Linked DNA regions of Oryctolagus cuniculus. The protein of the gene in region 1 purifies or fractionates together with the protein of each later gene. This does not show direct contact. Links are inferred from orthologs where the notes say so. Each region holds a gene or a part of one and is shown in the gene's direction. Other genes may lie near its edges. The genes, in order: SYTL4 and RAB3A.

Region 1 (3,802 bases):
TAAGAGCCAGTTTTCTAACAAATCTGGTGGTGGTCTCATTTGCTGTGTGCCTGTGCTCTGCTTGGTGTTTTGCTGCCAGGCAACTAGTTGTATCTCTTTTATATAGGAACTGCTGATTTTCCAGTGCTTCATCCATAATTATACATTTAGGAATTCATTTCCACAGTACTTTGATTATTTAATATTTTACAGCTGCCCTAGCCATGATCCTGCCTAGACAGAGTCAGTAGAGTACCAGCTCTAGAATCAGATTGCCTAGGCTTCCCTCCCAGCAACTTCTCTTAGTTGCTATTTCTTCCGTTACGTTAGGCTAACCTCTCCTGAATCCTCATCAATACAATGGGGATAGTAATAGTCACTCACCCTCAGTGTTGTTGGGAGGATTAAGTTAATCATTATATATATGCAAAGTACTTATTTAGCGTGTAGTAATATGTGGCACTGTTGGAATGGTGATGACAGTGATGGTGTTCATCTATATTGGCAGCATATGTGGCACCATTTGCCAGATAATGTGTGTTAGGTGCTGGGCCAGAGATGATATTGAAAAGGTCCTTGTTTCCGTTGCAAGTATACAAGGGTACATCAAAAAGATCACAGGAAATAGTTAAAAGATAAGTTTATTTTGTGGTAAAAATATTGAAATCTGGCCGGCGCTGCGACTCACTAGGCTAATCCTCCGCCTAGTGGCGCCGGCACACCGGGTTCTAGTCCCGGTTGGGGCGCCGGATTCTGTCCTGGTTGCCCCTCTTCCAGGCCAGCTCTCTGCTGTGGCCAGGGAGTGCAGTGGAGGATGGCCCAGGTGCTTGGGCCCTGCACCCCATGGGAGACCAGGAAAAGCACCTGGCTCCTGGCTCCTGGCTCCTGCCATCGGATCAGCGCGGTGCGCCGGCCGCAGCGCGCCAGCCACGGTGGCCATTGGAGGGTGAACCAACGGCAAAGGAAGACCTTTCTCTCTGTCTCTCTCTCTCACTGTCCACTCTGCCTGTCAAAAAATAAAAAAAAAATTGAAATCTATTCATAGTTTTTTCAGTAACATGCATTTTCATGAACTTTTTGCAGGACCCTTATATATTTTCCTTGAGGATAAGAACTAAGAAGATTTCCTGAAGATTATCTAATAAAGGACCTATGAAACATGATTACCTTCTTATAGTTCAATAAAGACCAAGAAATAGTCAAGTTGAGAACACACTGCAGTTTTAAGAACCTGGAATGCTTTGCTATCCTCTTTGTGCTCTTTATTGTCTTTCTTGTATTTAGTAAAACAAAATTAAAAAAAAACTGAAAGGATGTTGTTTAGTTTCAAGGTAGAACATGGAAGGGGAATACAATCCCTGTTTCCTTTCTCACTTTGTCTACCCTAGTCTCTTTGACACCCATGACTACCAAATCTCTGTCTTCAAATACAGTTTCTCTTCCTGAGGCCCAGCCCTGTGTTTCCAGCTACTCCCTGAGCCTAATTATCTGGCTATTCTGCATGCAACATAAACTCAATGTGGCTAAAATTAGACCCCTTGCCTGCTCTTAAGGCTAATTCTTCTCTTCTATTTCTTGTTCCTTTGAGGGCTAAACATCTTTGACTTCACCTCTTCATCTTCTCCACTCAGTCACTCCATTATGTCAATTTTACTTTTCAAACCTATTCTGTGTTTGGTTTTGCTGCCTTGGCTCACACCTTTATCATTTTAGCAGACACAAAAAGTATTTGTAATTCAAGCATGTGTTCCAGACATTGTGATTGGCCCTTTAACACACATTATTTTTCTTGACGACTTTGTGAGGTAGATCATTTTGAGGATGAGAAACCATAGGGAACAGAAATAAGATCACTCATCCAAGTGATTAGTGGCACAGGTAGTAATCTAGGTTGTTTGTTGCTTGGACGATTGCCATAATCTCCTTGTGTCCCTCGAAATGTATTTTTTTGAAATATAAAAGGAAGACGTGTAAAAACAAATCAGAACTATATAAAATAAAAAGTGAAAATTGCCCCATCCTAATTCTGCCCAAAGAGATACCAATGGTATATAATAGTTTTTTTCCTAGGCCTTTCTCTTTGCCTATACAAATGTTAAAATAAATACTTTATGAAATACGTCATTTGACATATCTATTTTTTAAAGATTTATGTATTTATTTGAAAGAGTTACAGAGAGAGGGAGAGAGAGAGGGAGGGGAGAGAGAGAGATCAATCGATCAATTGATCAATCTTCCATCCATTGGTTAACATCCTAAATGGTCACAATGGCAAGGATTGGGCAAGGATTGGGCAAGGCTGAAGCCAGGAACCAGGAATCCCATCCAGGTCTCCTAAATGGGTGGCAGGGGCCCAAGCTTGTGAGCCATCATGTACTGCTATTTCTGGCATTGCAGGTGGCAGCTTAACCTCTGAGCAATAACGCTGGCCCCTCTTAGATATTTTTAAAGATCTTTTGTTTATTTATTTAAAATGCAGAGCATCAGAGAGAGAGAGAGAGAGAGAGAGAATGAATATGAATCTTTCATCCTCCAGTTTACTCCCCAAACGGCTGTAACAGTCAGAACTGGGCCAGGCCAAAGTCAGGAGCCTTGAATTCCATCTGGGCCTACCATGTGAGTGGCAGGGGCCCAATCACTTGGGCCATCTTGTGATGCTTTCCTAGGGGCATTAACAGACTGCTGGACCAGAAATGGAGCATCCGGGACTTGAACTGGTGCTCATATGTGATGTCAGTGGCACAGGTGGTGGCCTAACCCACTGTGCTGGGAACTGTGTCTTAATAAGCTCTGTATTCAAAGAACTTTGCACAATACCTTTCATTTAATGGGGCTTGACAAATGTTTATGAAATGGGGCAGACTTTCTTGAGGTAGTGTGAGTGCAATAAAAACTTTGTGGCGCAGTAGGTGGTGAAAATTTTTGAAGTATAGTGGAAAGCTGACTGAATCCTGGGAGCATGGAAGCTGATCAGGAATGAGAAGTAGACCTAAATTGACAAGAGTTCTCCTGTGCTTTTCCCTTCTCCTACAGAGACCAGCTTCTTGATTATTTAGGTTAATAGACTTAGGAGTTGAGCATATTTAAAGAAATAAAAATTGGATGGTTGAGGATGCATTTAGTGGAGGGGGAGTTTGACTGAATTGTTCTTTGCTCTTTCCAGAATAAGATGCTTATAATGAAAGATCCAGTCCTTTCCCAGAGTCATAAATAGATTTTTTCTTCTTGAAAAATAAAAACCTTTTCATTTTCAGGGTATGATTCAAGTGAAGTCGGAATGCAAATACGTCTGATACTTCTAGTTTGTTTCTTTAGCCTATAGTCTACTGGAAGGTTCTAGGGCTGTGAGCCTGTTCTGGAGTAAGTCATTTGTGTGAAATTAGTTCTCTCGTTTCAGGCAACTCTGGTGCTCTCCCTGTCTGGTTGCTTTGAAGAAAGAAGAGTGAACAACAACAACAACAAACAGAATAAGTCATGTCAGAGATACTAGACCTGTCTTTTCTGTCTGAGATGGAAAGGGATTTGATCCTCAGTGTTCTACAGCGAGATGAGGAGCTCCGAAAAGCAGATGAGAAAAGGATTAGGTAAGAGTATCAGAAAAAGCATGGGGGCCTCAGGCCTTTCACCAATGATAGTTGGATTTTTCCTTACGCTACCCATCTGACTTTCAGAACCTGTATATACAACACTTACAACTCCTCATTGGGTCAGGTTGGAGCTCTGAGTTTGTTGCTTTAACAGAACCAAATAGTCTTACTCCGTTTACCCCTCAAACCCTACCCAGACAACCTGTGCAGATCCTGACCCACTTATGCTTCTCTTT
Region 2 (4,556 bases), on another chromosome or scaffold:
GTACGAGGCAGAGTTCTGTGTCCCCCTGCACCTGTTTGCCCACTGCCCCCTTAGCTCGAGCTGTCCCACCCCAGGCCCTTTGCACCTGTCGCCCCCGCCCCCAAGGCGGCTCCTGCGTTCCTGAGCTCCCTGGGCAAAGCAGCCTCCCTACAAGGGTTCATTCATTCACTCACTGCGTCATTCATTCATTCCGCCCGCGCCACAGCGCTAACCACTGGCTCAGTCAGAGTCAGCGCCATCCTGTGCGGGGAGAACCGTGTGATTTCGGGGTCACGACCACCTCGGGTCCCCAGAGACGAGGGTGAGACACCAGCGACGGGCAGAGCGCCCCCACAAGCGGGCGCGGCAGGCGCAAAGGTCCTGCGGGACACGGAGCCGCTGGGGGGGGGGGCGGCTTCGGACCTGGGAACCTGCCTCTCCCCCACCTGCTGCCTCCCCACCCCCGCCAGGCAGGAGACAAACTCGGGGCCCCCCTCCCCGTCTGCCAGCCTTGCCAGCCACCGCTTCTATTTTTACATCCACACACGGGGTGCTGTGGTCTCGTGACTGCTTCCCCCGGGGGACTCAGAGCCCCACACACCCCGCCTAGAGCCCCCGCCCGCGCAGGGACCCGCGCACCCGCCCAGAGCCCCCCAGTGGGGGCGGGGCCCAGGGCCCCAGACGGGGAGGGGCCGGGGTCGTGACGCTCAGAGCCCGTGGGGGCACTCACACGTGACTCAGAGAAGTGAATTTCCCGGCGCGCACGCGGGGGCGCCGGGGGGGGGCAGGACTTTCCAGGCCGCGGCGCGGGGCGGGGGCGCCGGCGCTGTGTCGGGAACAGGGCGAGTGCCCCCCAGCCCCAGCCCATCTCCGCTCCAGTTTTGGGCAAGGGAGGGGCCGGGGGGTCCTGGGGACCCGGGACGGGGCGGGGGTCAGAGGGTGGCACCAGCGGGCCCGGAACGGAGCGGGGGCCCTGCCGCCGACCCCGCAGCGAGAGCAGAGCCGAGGGCGCCCCCGCCCTCCGCCCTCCGCCCGGCCCTGGGTTCTCGGTAGCGGGGAGGGGTCACCTGGCCCCCGACCCACGCTGGCTGGGGATCTCCACCGCGGGTCTGGGGGTCCCGGGCACTGAGCCCCGCCCATTCTGTTTCCTGCTCGAGACGGGGCGCGCCGGGGGAGGGATTCGCCGGCGGCCCCCCTCCCCGGGGGTCTTCAGGTCGGGGACCGCGCGAGGGGCTGTCCGACGAGCCCCTTCCTCTTTTAGCTTCTCAGGAACCCCCAGACGCAAGGGCGGGGCACGAGGGTCTCCCGGGCCCCGGTTCCGCTTTCCTGAAATTCAGGAGACGGGGCTCCTAACGAGAAGTCGCCGCACCGCGGACCCGGCAGGGGCAGCCCCGACGCCCCCCGACCTGGGGTGGGCGCGGCCGGGAAGGGAACCGCCCCCCCAGAGACCCCTTCAACCGCCTGGGATCCCTCCATTGGCCAGGGGGACGGCGTCTGCGAAGCTCATTGGCTTGCTGGTCCGTCACTGCACCTCTTAGCCAATGAGCTGACGCCAAGCAGCCCCGCCTTCCTGAGGGAGGTGAGAGGCGGGACCTGCTTCCCCGATTGGACGCGCGCGCCGGGCCACGCCCACTTCTCGCGTCCATCTGCACGGCAGCCCCGCCCCTCCCGGCTCTGCCTGCGTCCGGGAGCCGCAGCCGCCGGCCCGACCCCGCCTCTGGTGGCGTCACGGCTGTATCTGCATGCGAGGCCCCGCCCCGCTCTTTGCAGGACGTCACGGAGGACTGCAGGGGCCTCAGCCACCGCCGCCGCCGCCGCCGGGCAGCCCCGCACGCTCTCCGCGCCCCGGTCCCGCAGCTGCCGCCCCGCGCTCCGCCTAGGGGTATCCGCCGCGCCGGTGCAGGGCGAGGTGAGCCCCCGGCGGCCCCGAGCCTCGGCGCCCCGCGCCGCTGAACCCTCACGTGACTGACAGGCGGGTGGCGGTGGGGAGGGGGCGGGGGAAGGCGCGTGGGGGCGGGGAGGGTGCGGGGCCGCGGGCCCGGGGGTCCCCCGCCGCCGCCCGAGCCTCGCTCCCCCACCCCCGGGCGCTGCGGCGAGGGGGGAGGGGCGGCGAGCGCCTTGCGGGACGCTGCGCGCGGGAGGCTCTTGCGTGCGCGTGCGCGAGGTGTGCACCTGCGTGTGCGCGCCCGCCTACCCTGGCGCGGGAGCCTGGGTTTGCCGGCATACGGGCCGCACGCGTGTGCAGAGAGCCGCGTGCACGCCCGAGGGTCCACGTTCCTGTGGGTCTGCGCGGCGTGAGCGCGTGCACGTCCCTTCTTTGCCCTGGCCTCGAGGTTTGGGGTTGCAGACGCGCGTCCCCGCGTGGTGGGGGTGGGGCGGTGCTGGCAGGTGCACGTGCGCCTGCGTGCCGGGGACCAGGCAAGATTGAGGGGGGGCGGCCGTAGTCACCCCCACTCAGGCTGCAGCCGTAGGTTTAGGGTTACAGCGGGACCTGGGCTGCTAGCGGGGATCCCCTGCGGTCTGCACCGGTCAAGGTCACGGCCCGCCCCCTGCTCAGGGCTCCTGCTGCCAGGGGCAGCCGAGGCCGCAGCCCCCTCCCCGAGCCCGGGGCTCCCTACCCCCGCAGCCCAGGTCTGGGTCCCCGGCAGCCCCGGCTGCAGCCAGCTCCCGCTCTCACCCCCCCCCCCCCCGCGCAGATGGCGTCGGCCACGGACTCGCGCTACGGGCAGAAGGAGCCCTCGGACCAGAACTTCGACTACATGTTCAAGATTCTCATCATCGGCAACAGCAGCGTGGGCAAGACCTCCTTCCTGTTCCGCTACGCCGACGACTCCTTCACGCCCGCCTTCGTCAGCACCGTGGGCATCGACTTCAAGGTCAAGACCATCTACCGCAACGACAAGAGGATCAAGCTGCAGATCTGGGTGCGCAGCATGCAGTAGGCGCCTACTGTGTGCCAGCCCCACGCGCTCGGCCCCCAAATGCCAGCCAGAGCTTGGGCGGGGCTCCATCCGGGTCTCCCACGGGGCAGCAGGGACCCCTGCCCCTGGGCCAGCACCTGCTGCCTCCCAGGGCGCGCATGCGCAGGGAGCTGGGCGGGAACCCAGGGATGTGGGGCCCCGCGCGGCGGTGTAACTGCTGCTCCACAGTGCTGCCTCGGTTTCCCCATCTACAAGGGCTTCCATGTGGGCTGTGTAGATTTCAGCTGGACCTTGTTCCGTGGGGCAGGTGCGCTGTGTCCACCTGTGACCGCAAACGAGAACTGTTCATCCGGGGCCAGCGCTGTGGCCTCGTTCCTAAAGCCCCCACCTGCAGCGCCCGCATCCTGTGTGGGCGCCCGTGCGAGTCCCGGCCGTTCCACTGCCCATCCAGCTCCCTGCTATGGCCTGGGGGAGCTGTGGATGATGGGCCGAGTGCCTAGGCCCCTGCACCCGTGTGGGGGACCCGGATGGAGCTCTAGAGCCGGGACTGGGCCCCAGGCACTCGGATAGGGGGCGCGGGGAGTTGCGGTGGAGTTCACTTTGGGCGCCACGCACCTGCCACCGCCCCTGAGCTGCCCTTGTCGCCTCCCACCCTAGGCCCTGGAGCAGGGCTTTGGGAGTGGTCCGTCCCCCAGGGCGGGGCTTTGGGGTGGTCCATCCCCCAGGGTGGGGCTTTGGGAGTGGTCCGTCCCCCAGGGCAGGGCTTTGGGGGTGGCCTGTCCCCCAGGGCGGGGCTTTGGGAGTAGCCCGCTCTGAGCATGCCCCTTCCCCAGGACACGGCGGGCCAGGAGCGGTACCGCACCATCACCACCGCCTACTACCGCGGCGCCATGGGCTTCATCCTCATGTACGACATCACCAACGAGGAGTCCTTCAACGCCGTGCAGGACTGGTGAGCGCGCGGGGCGGGGTCGCCTCGCTTAAGATTTACGCAGAGAGGAAGGGAAAGGGAGAGAGAGAGAGAGAGGGAGGGAGAGGGAGAGGGAGGGAAGGAGAGAGGGAGGTCGGTCTTCCGTCTGTTGGTTCACTCCCCAAATGTCTGCAATGGCCAGGGCTGGGCCAGGCTGAAGCCAGGAGCTCCATCCGGGTCACCCCCATGGGTGCAGGGGCCCAAGGGCTTGGGCCATCTTCCACTGCTCTCCCAGGCCACAGCAGAGAGCTGGATGGGAAGTGGAGCAGCCGGGACTAGAATCGGCGCCCCTGTGGGATGCAGGCACCGCAGGCCGGGGCTTTACCCGCTGCGCCCCAGTGCCGGCCCCGGGAGATGACTCAGGGTCGAAGAGGTTGCTTGAAAGGGCAGGGAACCTTCTGGAACAAGCACTGGGCAGAAGGCACAGGACTCGGGTTTCCAGGAGGGGCTGCCCAGTGTGAGGCCAGAACCGCCCAGCCCTAACTCCACCGTCACCGCCTCCTGCAGGTCCACCCAGATTAAAACCTACTCGTGGGACAACGCACAGGTGCTGCTGGTGGGGAACAAGTGTGACATGGAGGACGAGCGGGTGGTGTCCTCGGAGCGCGGCCGGCAGCTGGCCGACCACCTCGGTGAGCGCCTGCGCCGGGGCCAGTGCCGAGGCCGTGTGGGGGCTCCGGGCTCAC

Evidence for each region.
Region 2: the proteins of SYTL4 (region 1) and RAB3A purify together in Homo sapiens (affinity purification with mass spectrometry; 3 studies listed by BioGRID and IntAct, counting the BioPlex papers as one, with this or other methods). This does not show direct contact. The link is inferred for Oryctolagus cuniculus from reciprocal best matches to the Homo sapiens genes SYTL4 and RAB3A.

The regions. Positions count from the first base shown.
Region 1 is NC_091453.1:92,012,942-92,016,743, forward strand, and holds part of SYTL4 (synaptotagmin-like protein 4), read left to right. Parts: intron 1-3,362; exon of another isoform or gene 3,363-3,376; 5' UTR 3,377-3,453; coding exon 3,454-3,563; intron 3,564-3,802. UniProt on the Homo sapiens protein: Modulates exocytosis of dense-core granules and secretion of hormones in the pancreas and the pituitary. Interacts with vesicles containing negatively charged phospholipids in a Ca(2+)-independent manner.
Region 2 is NC_091447.1:65,551,313-65,555,868, reverse strand, and holds the start of RAB3A (ras-related protein Rab-3A), read left to right. Parts: upstream 1-1,728; 5' UTR 1,729-1,888; intron 1,889-2,675; coding exon 2,676-2,903; exon of another isoform or gene 2,904-3,180; coding exon of another isoform or gene 3,181-3,222; intron 3,223-3,733; coding exon 3,734-3,852; intron 3,853-4,377; coding exon 4,378-4,502; intron 4,503-4,556. Other genes in the region: MPV17L2 (mpv17-like protein 2), read right to left, coding at 3,181-3,222. UniProt on the Homo sapiens protein: The small GTPases Rab are key regulators of intracellular membrane trafficking, from the formation of transport vesicles to their fusion with membranes.